Macaca mulatta: one gene and its partner. The protein of the gene in region 2 purifies or fractionates together with the protein of the main gene of each other region. This does not show direct contact. Links are inferred from orthologs where the notes say so. Each region holds a gene or a part of one and is shown on either strand. Other genes may lie near its edges.

The links. The genes of interacting proteins can lie anywhere in the genome.
Region 1: the proteins of VDAC1 (region 2) and RAB7A purify together in Homo sapiens (affinity purification with mass spectrometry; 3 studies listed by BioGRID and IntAct, with this or other methods). This does not show direct contact. The link is inferred for Macaca mulatta from reciprocal best matches to the Homo sapiens genes VDAC1 and RAB7A.

The regions. Positions count from the first base shown.
Region 1 is NC_133407.1:155,150,692-155,155,220, forward strand, and holds part of RAB7A (ras-related protein Rab-7a), read right to left. Parts: intron 659-4,529; coding exon 440-658; intron 1-439.
Region 2 is NC_133411.1:142,894,349-142,898,877, forward strand, and holds part of VDAC1 (non-selective voltage-gated ion channel VDAC1), read right to left. Parts: intron 2,397-4,529; 5' UTR 2,391-2,396; coding exon 2,324-2,390; intron 1,732-2,323; coding exon 1,682-1,731; intron 525-1,681; coding exon 372-524; intron 278-371; coding exon 225-277; intron 1-224. UniProt on the Homo sapiens protein: Non-selective voltage-gated ion channel that mediates the transport of anions and cations through the mitochondrion outer membrane and plasma membrane.

The sequences.
Region 1 (4,529 bases), on a different chromosome or scaffold from region 2:
GTCGTAATTAATCAAAGAGTCTATGTTTCCAACAGAAATGATATTTGAAACTATAACTATAGTACAGCAATTTCACTCAAAGCCCAAAGCAATATTCTGCACACATGGAGATCCAAGCACGGCCTGGAGGTACTGGGAGGGCACTACTGAGAATGACAAAACTGAATTCCCTCCTTCAAAGTGCAGAAAGGGAACTGAAGTTGAGATAGCCAAGACAATGGCGTAAAGTCACAGCCAGCTGGGAGCAGGATGGGGACTTAACCCAGGTCACCTGGGTCCCAGTCCTTAAAGGCAGTTGGCCTGAAGGGCTGGCATAGGGTGATGAAGACTCCCACCAGCACCTCCTAGAGCCATGTGAGCTTAGCAGAGAACCCTCCAAATTCACAAGGCCCCTTGGGAGCAAGTGTCTGTGACAATATCTATCATCGTTGGTACTTACTTGTCTGTTTTCGAGGTCAATCTTGTTTCCCAACACAACAAAGGGGAAGTTTTCAGGATCTCGGGGACTGGCCTGGATGAGAAACTCATCTCTCCAGCTATCTAGGGTTTTGAATGTGTTGGGGGCAGTCACATCAAATACCAGAACACAGCAGTCTGCACCTCTGTAGAAGGCCACACCAAGAGACTGGAACCGTTCCTGTCCTGCTGTGTCCCATATCTGTGAGAGACAAAACATTTATTCCTCGGGAGAGTGCTAGGCAGAGCACAAGGAGCATGTATGCAGGGGATGCCAGAAGAAATGGGCTAGATTGTGAGGTCACCCACAAAGACAAATGACACCAGACTTCAGGAAGCAAATTTCAGCACCAGAGTATCCGAAACAATCCTCACAAATATTGTATGTAAGTATGTGTCTGTCTATAAGCAGGTGACACGAGTCCAATCTCCAGGGCGCTAGAAATTTCTTATATCTTGATCCAAGTAGTGGTCACATTTAGGTAAGTGTGTAAAATTTGAACTGTAAATAAAACTTAGGTACTCTGGGAACTTTCTGAGAGCAATGGAAATACAGGGAAGTGAGGTGATGACTCACAAATGATACAGTTCCATTTATGCATTTTACTGTATGAAAAGTTTGCCTAGCCAGGCACAGTGGCTAACCTGAGGTCAGGAGTTTGAGACCAGCCTGACCAACATGGAGAAACCCTGTCTCAACTAAAAATACAAAATTAGTCAGGCGTGGTGGTGCATGCCTGTAATCCCAGCTACTTGGGAGGCTGAGGCAGGAGAATCTCTCGAACCCAGGAGGCGAAGGTTGTGGTGAGCCGAGATCGTGCCACTACCCTCTAGCCTGAGGGACAAGAGCGAAACTCTGTCTCAAAAAAAGAGAGAAAAGTTAGCCTAAACAACAAAAAAGATTAGCATGTTATATTTCATTTGTATTATACCTCAATTAAAAAACAAATGAAAAACTCTTGACAGAAAGAGATCAAGAGAAAGACAATGAGAACACACACCAGATTAACTCCCAGGTACTACTGACCAGCTCTAAGCTGGTCACATCATTCACTGCCATGCTAGGTTTAAGAGCAAGGCTGGGTATATTTACTGCCCTAGATCCGTAACAGGCACTCAAACAGAGCCAGACAAACATGATAACTCAGATATAAGAATGAAGGGCAAAAAAGACAAATTTATCTCTCATGATTCCACTGCCTCTCAGCAGGTTAGGGCACTAAATGTTCCCTTCCCCAGATACAATAAACGAAGTCCACACATGTAGACTAAACAGGATCAGGGCTGCTGGTGGTACTCATTTATGTGCTCTCCTGGTTCTCCAATGTTCTACACTGAATATGTATGCATCTCTGTCAGTGGAGAAATGACCCCATTCTCAAACAAACAAACAAACAAACAAATATACGAACACTTGGCATCCTCCCACACAGGAAGGAGTTCATGTCTTGTTCTAGTTATTTGTGTGGAGAGGTTTTCTCCACACAAATAACTGACTGGAGACTGCACATGTGACACTCTCCACATTCTCCCACGTTCCTCCCCTTTACCCCGTCACGCACTAGGGCACTCTGGCAACAGCAGATGGGGTGACGTGGGAGAGCAGGTTCACTGGACTTTACAGCTGCCCAACAGATTTAGTGAACCATCCATTCCTGTTTTTAAGAAAATATTGTTGCCAATCTCCTGTAATTATAAACAACTCAGCAATGAACATTAGCATAGAGAGCTTTTTCTGTATTTCAAACGGCTTTTTTTCAGGAAGACTCCTACAAGCAGAATTACATAAGAACTCTGTTATTGTTAGGTGGAACCAATTCATCATCTGGAACTCATATACACAGAGAAGGCAAAGTAATACTTTCAAAAAGAAAAGTCAACAAGTTGATGGGTTCCTAGAAAGTTACCAAAATTAATTTAATTTTGAATTTACAAAAGTAAAGGCCATATTTATCAAAACATCAACAAGTACAGTCCTATGGCTGGCTGTGATCTTTAAATTTTTTAATATTTTAATTGAAATTGTTAACAGTGACCTAGGTTCTTGGAATCTTCCATGACAGAAATCAAGAGAGATCATCAGACACAATAGCAAAGAGAAAGTGAAAGTTTATTTAGCTTGTGCATAGTGAGCTAGCACTGCAAAAGGAAAGGGGCAGCTGTTCTCTGAAAGCAGTGTGGGAGTTAACTTTAAAGGGCCTTCCTATGGGGAGGGGTGATGTCAGGGTATGTATATAGGAGGGGTTTCTCTACCGCATGCACAGTGGCTAAACATGCTTCTTCAGAAATTGCGTGTAGCACTAGCAGGTTAAATCTCCACCCTGGGTGTGATTTTTAGCATTAAAATGAGGAAAAGGTAACTATAAGTTGAAGTCTAACTGCACATGCTGGGGGCCCCAGGGAGGTCCCTAGCCCCATGAAGCAGGAACTTATGATAACAGTTTCTTGGGATTTTTTTGCTGCTGATTGTCTGGAAGTTAGGTAAGCTACAGCTTGAGTAAGGGGCTTTTGTTCTTTTTCTCTAGACTACATCAAAACAGGAAACCAGCCAACCTGCTTGTCTCAAAATGGTTTGTTTTCTCCATTTAAAATTATACCCTTATAACTATCTACCCAATACTCTGATGTTACCAAAATTAACACTGTTATTTTAATCCATTTTTTCCAAGAATTAACCCTTCCCCCATTGCATTTTCTTCCTACTTTACCACAAGCAAATGCTCCTGAAGAGATACCTTACATAAATAGTATCATTCTGTACAGCTTTTTGCAACTTGTCTTTTTTCACTCCCAAAAGTTAACAGTTATATAATATTTCATTGCCTTAACGGACTACACTTAGTTTCCTAGATCATTTGAGTTACTTGCAGTTTTTCACTACTATCCATGCAATGCTGCAATGGTAACTCTCGTTACACCTCAGACGTCATGCCCAGACGTAAGTTTCTCTAGGCCATACACTCAGACTGTTGCTGCATAAGTGTATGTTCAACACTGGGGAACAGAGTGGCAGTTTCTACTGAAAAGGCTGTACTCATTACTACACTCCTACCATCAACCTGAGGCTGTTCAACTCCCTATATTCTAGCATCCACCAGGTTGCCTACTGCTTGGATATTATTAGGCATTAACATCTTTTTCACCTGCTTGTATGGTTTGTTTTTGTTAGTCTGGGAATCTTGTTATACAGATGTTTAATGTAATCTATTATCAATCTTCAACATTTTATGATTTGTACTTTTTTTCTTTTCTTTTTTTTTTTTTGAGACGGAGTCTTACTCTGTCGCCCAGGCTGGAGTGCAGTGGCGCGGTCTCGGCTCACTGCAAGCTCCGCCTCCCGGGTTTACGCCATTCTCCTGCCTCAGCCTCCCGAGTAGCTGGGACTACAGGCGCCCGCTACCTCGCCCGGCTAGTTTTTTGTATTTTTTAGTAGAGACGGGGTTTCACCGTGTTAGCCAGGATGGTCTTGATCTCCTGACCTCGTGATCCGCCCGTCTCGGCCTCCCAAAGTGCTGGGATTACAGGCTTGAGCCACCGCGCCCGGCCTCTTTTTTTTTTTTTTTTTTGAGACGGAGTCTCGCTCTGTCACCCAGGCTGGAGTGCAGTGGCAGGATCTCGGCTCACTGCAAGTTCCGCCTCCCGGGTTTACGCCATTCTCCTGCCTCAGCCTCCCGAGTAGCTGGGACTACAGGCGCCCGCCACCTCGCCCGGCTAGTTTTTTGTATTTTTTAGTAGAGACGGGGTTTCACCATGTTAGCCAGGATGGTCTCGATCTCCTGACCTCGTGATCTGCCCGTCTCGGCCTCCCAAAGTGCTGGGATTACAGGCTTGAGCCATCGCACCCAGCGATTTGTACTTTCCGTACTTTCAAATGCCAGAGGAGTAAAGTATTCACTATTTTCATTTTTAAAGTTTTCACTTTGTATTTTTTCCACCTTCAGGTCTTGAATCCTCTGGTTCCCCCAAGCTAGAATGTAAAGCTCTGTCCTGGTCCCACTTATTTACCCTACTGGCTAGGCGCAGTGGCTCACGCCTGTAATCCCAACCCTTTGGGAGGTCGAGGTGGGTGGATC
Region 2 (4,529 bases):
AAACACCAATCCTGAATTAGGAAGCGCTCATTATAGCACAGTCTGTTAATGCATAGATGTGGGTACGACCCCAGGACCAAATTAAAACTAGAGGACTTAAATCGCCAGGTCTTGGAGGCCATATTTTAGGTGTTATCAGCCCCCAAAACATTTTGTCACAAAGGGCTTCCACCACCTGCAACATAAGAGGACATCCTTGTGGAGAAAACAGATGAGAATCTTACCCAGTGTTAGGTGAGAAGGATGAATCGAAGGTCAGCTTCAGTCCATGTGCAAGCTGAACAGAAAAGAAATTTGCCAGTAGGTTTAGTCACAAGGCAGGCCGGCAGATGTGAATTAGCAAATCCGTGTCTTTTCACAGCAGCCATTACCTGATCTTCCACAGTAATCTCGGTGCCTAGTGTATTGTCGGTGTTCCATTTCTCTGTAAACGTCAGGCCGTACTCAGTCCATCTGTACTTGGTTTCCAGACTGCCCGTCACTTTGGTGGTCTCAGTGTTGGCTGAGCCTGAGCTTGTAAATTCCTTCAAAGGAGAGAGAGAGTCACAACCTGTACCACAGCATTCACCTGGCTTCACTCCACTCCTAAACACTACACTTGCCTTTCTGCAAGAGGCAAGACCCTGAATGTGACGGGGCCAAGGCTAACTCTACAATTCAAATAGATATTTAAAGTACAGATGGGAGTAAAGGAGCCTGCTATGTAAAGAAATCTTATGGGGAATTCGTTGTCAGCAGACAGCTTCCTTCCTCCCTGTAACTCTTCAGTCTGGACAGGAAAGCATCTCCCCTCCATCCTGGCTCCAGCCCGGTACAGAAAAAAAGCACTGAGCTAAAGCTGACACAGCAGTAACTCAAACCCAAAACTTCTTCCTTCCAACAATTACTGCACACACAATTTAAAAGGGACTACTAAGATTACTTTAAAAACACTTATGTGGTTGAACACAGGTGAACGTGAAAATAAGAAGCACAAGGAAAACTGAAACTGAGACCTGCCCCATTCTGCTCTGAGTATTACCCGCTGCTGAATTGGGGGCCTATTGGCATGGTTCCCCTGGACCACCCATCATGTAGAAAATGGACTGAATGTGAAAACCACAAACTGCCAGAATTTTTTTTAAAAAGTACCTTCTTTTGGTTTTGCCGGCCATGTCATGACAGTTATTTGTTGATCTACAACAAATTCCCATGTTCCATACAATGGTCACTATTTGGGTAATGGGTACACTAGAAACCCAAACCTCACCGTTACACAATACATCCATGTAACAAACCTGTACATGTATAGCCTGAATCTAAAATCTTTTTTCAAAATAAAAATAAGCCAGGTGTGGTGGCTCATGCCTATAATTCCAGCACTTTGGGAGGCCAAGGCAGGCAGATCATCTGAAGTCGGGAGTTCAAGACCAGACTGACCAACATGGAGAAACCCCGTCTCTACTGAAAATACAAAATTAGCCGGGCATGGTGGCATGCGCCTATAATCCCAGCTACTCGGTAGGCTGAGGCAGGAGAATCGCTTGAACCCTGGAGGTGGAGGTTGCGGTGGGCTGAGATCATGTCATTGCACTCCAGCCTGGGTGACAACAGCGAAACTCCATCTCAAAAATAAATAAATAAAATAAAATAAAATAAAAATAAATAAATACTCATGTTCCACGTGGGTTGGACAACTTACCAATCCATTCTCAGATTTTGTTTTCAAATCAAGCTTTATTAAGCCAAATCCTAAAGAAAGAAGAAGACAACTGTTAATAGGTTAAATAACTATCTAGAGAACAGCACCTCTGCCTCCCTCACGGTTGCTTCGAAACGCTTTTTTAGAAGAAGTACACTACTGCCACACGGGCTGAGGGCACCCAGTCTCTGCTGCTGCTCGTGGGGGGAGTTCAGCTGCCATGGAACAGCAGCAGACAGAATGCGCACAGGCCCACCTGGGTCCCACCTGCACTCCCAGCAGGGTTTGAGAAGAAGTTGCCTGACAGCTGGCAGAGACACAGTCATCAGGCCTCGTGGGCATGTGCCTAAGCACAGGCTAAATATAGAAGCCGCGCTCCACTGCAGCAGCTTCCACAGGGTTGCTCCACACTTGGAAGAGAAAACAGGAATACCCACTTGACAGCATCAATGCAGGAGCCCGTCCAACTGGGGGCACAACCAAAACTGCTTCATTTGCCACACAAATGAAAGCTGCTTTTTTCCTTCACGTGAAAGTCAGAACAGCTGACCTACCCAGGTCTCCTAAACAGTTATCGGTAAAGTCTCAAACATGCCAACTCAGTCTGGGGGCTGAAAGGCACCCGCTCTCTGCAACACTCACCATAGCCCTTGGTGAAGACATCCCTGGCAGATTTGCCAAGATCAGCATACGTGGGTGGCACAGCCATCTTCTGCTATGATAAAAGAATCACCAGAATAAATGCATTGGTAATTAGGGAAATTAGCTTTCCATCAATAACAATTATTAGATGTAATTAGCAACCAATAAAAATCACCTAGCACTAAAACTTCCAGGTAGCTTATCCTCCCACATGGGCCAAGAAGCCCTTGCTGTCTTGTACTTCATTTTGTGGCCAGAGCTTGAGACACTCAGTGAGTCTTTGTTGACAGAGGATCAACAATTTAGACCTCTCCTCCTCAGCATCCCCAGGACTGAGCCCAGGCCCAGAACAGAGTAGGAGTCAGGAAATATTTGCTTAATGAATAAACTGTCAAAGACACATTCCCATGAGCCAATGACTTTACTGAATTTTAGGACTGTTGCCAATAAAACATATCCTCTTACAAAATGCCAGCTACTAGGACATTAAATGCGCCGAATAGAAATAAGAGCTTTTCATGGGAACATCATTTTCCATGTGGCTCTGATTTCATTCATTCAACAAATATTTATAGAGTACCTACTACATGCCAGGATGGGCCCAACTTTTCACAAAACTTTTGGACTTTATGGGAACCCACTTCGTATTTCTCATAGGAAATACAGTAAAACCTAACCAATTTGGCAGCTGTTCACGTGGAAAAAACCCAAATACATCCTACAAATAAATTAATTTAAACAAACATTTTTTTAAGCTCCAGTGTAACTTTATTTTCAAAAATAACCATCAAAGGACTACTTGGGATTACTGCATATCACTAAGTCAATCAACAAACATTTATTAAGCACCTCAGTGCTCAAGGAAGGAGAGTAACTCAAATAGTCTTTGCCCTGAGGAGCACACTGCAGTCCTGGAAGGCTTTGCTTTGGCATGCTGTATATGCTGTGTACACAGGATTAATATCCTCATCTGGGACTGTACACTGTGTGCTCTGCCCAGGAGCAGAGGGGGTCAAGCATGAGAAAGCCTCATCTCCTGCACCTTCTCCATTCCCAGAATCATTAGTCTCAACCAGAAGGACCATTCGTTTTAAAATACAGTATACCTAAATTATCAAAATGCATCTGCATATACACCATCTGAAGTTACATGTATATATACTCACACAAGTAAACACATGTATGACTTGCTCCTGGTGAGTGGGAGGGAGCCCACTAAAAAGTGGTTCAAGTGATCCTAAGGGAACAATATAACAAATGGAAGTTGCATTCTTGGCCAAAGCTTTAACTTCAAAGGCATTGCAGGAGGCCACAGACTCACTGAGTATGTTGCAAAAGAAACAGTATAAACTTCTACAATTTTAAATTGTGAAGTTGTGGTCCAGGTCCTACTTTACTTTTTCCAGATGCTTTGTTAATTTTATCCCAGCTCACTTTTGTGTCAGAGCAGAGACAGAAGAGCAGCAAGCTGTTTACTCTGTCCTATTTTTGTCGCTGCTATGTTATTTCTTGCACATGATCAGGCTGGAACCATGGACAGGTCAGCCCACATTAGGATCAGGATAGAGCGATGAGGAGGAAGAACCATTTTACACTGCCCGCCACTGGCTCTTTCAAGTCTGGGGGCTCCCCTCTCCCCACCTGTTCCTCCCTCCCAAACTAACCCTGTAGGTACATCCCCCTGGGATAGACAAGGAAACCATCCACCAGATCCTCAAGAAATATCCTTTGCCTGACCCCTTCCTAGGAGAACAACTCTGGATTGAAAGCTGAGGCAATGTAACCCCAGGCAGACACAGAACATAACAGCAAATGGCCCAGAACATTCTCCACCTGACAGGGTTAACAAACCATCAGTGAACCAAGCACCCCCCTTCAGTGCTATCTCTCCCAGCTGGGCTACAAACTCAGCTCGGGGTGGGGCTAGGGAGACAGGAGGAGAAGCAGTCCCGTGGTAATATCTGTGGGTCAGCTAAGACCTCCCTGGACCTTAGGAGCCAGAGCCTTCCTCACGACTCTCCCCTGACCCCACAGAAGAGATGCCTCCCAGACACAGTAGCCTTCACATCTGGACTGGTCCCCGCTCAGGATAAAGGCAGAACACTCATCCACTTAATGTTCCCCAAATGCCCTCTCTCATCACTAATCCCCAAAACCCAACAAGCACAGCCACCTGTCAAAAAGCACCCCACCCACAGCAAACATC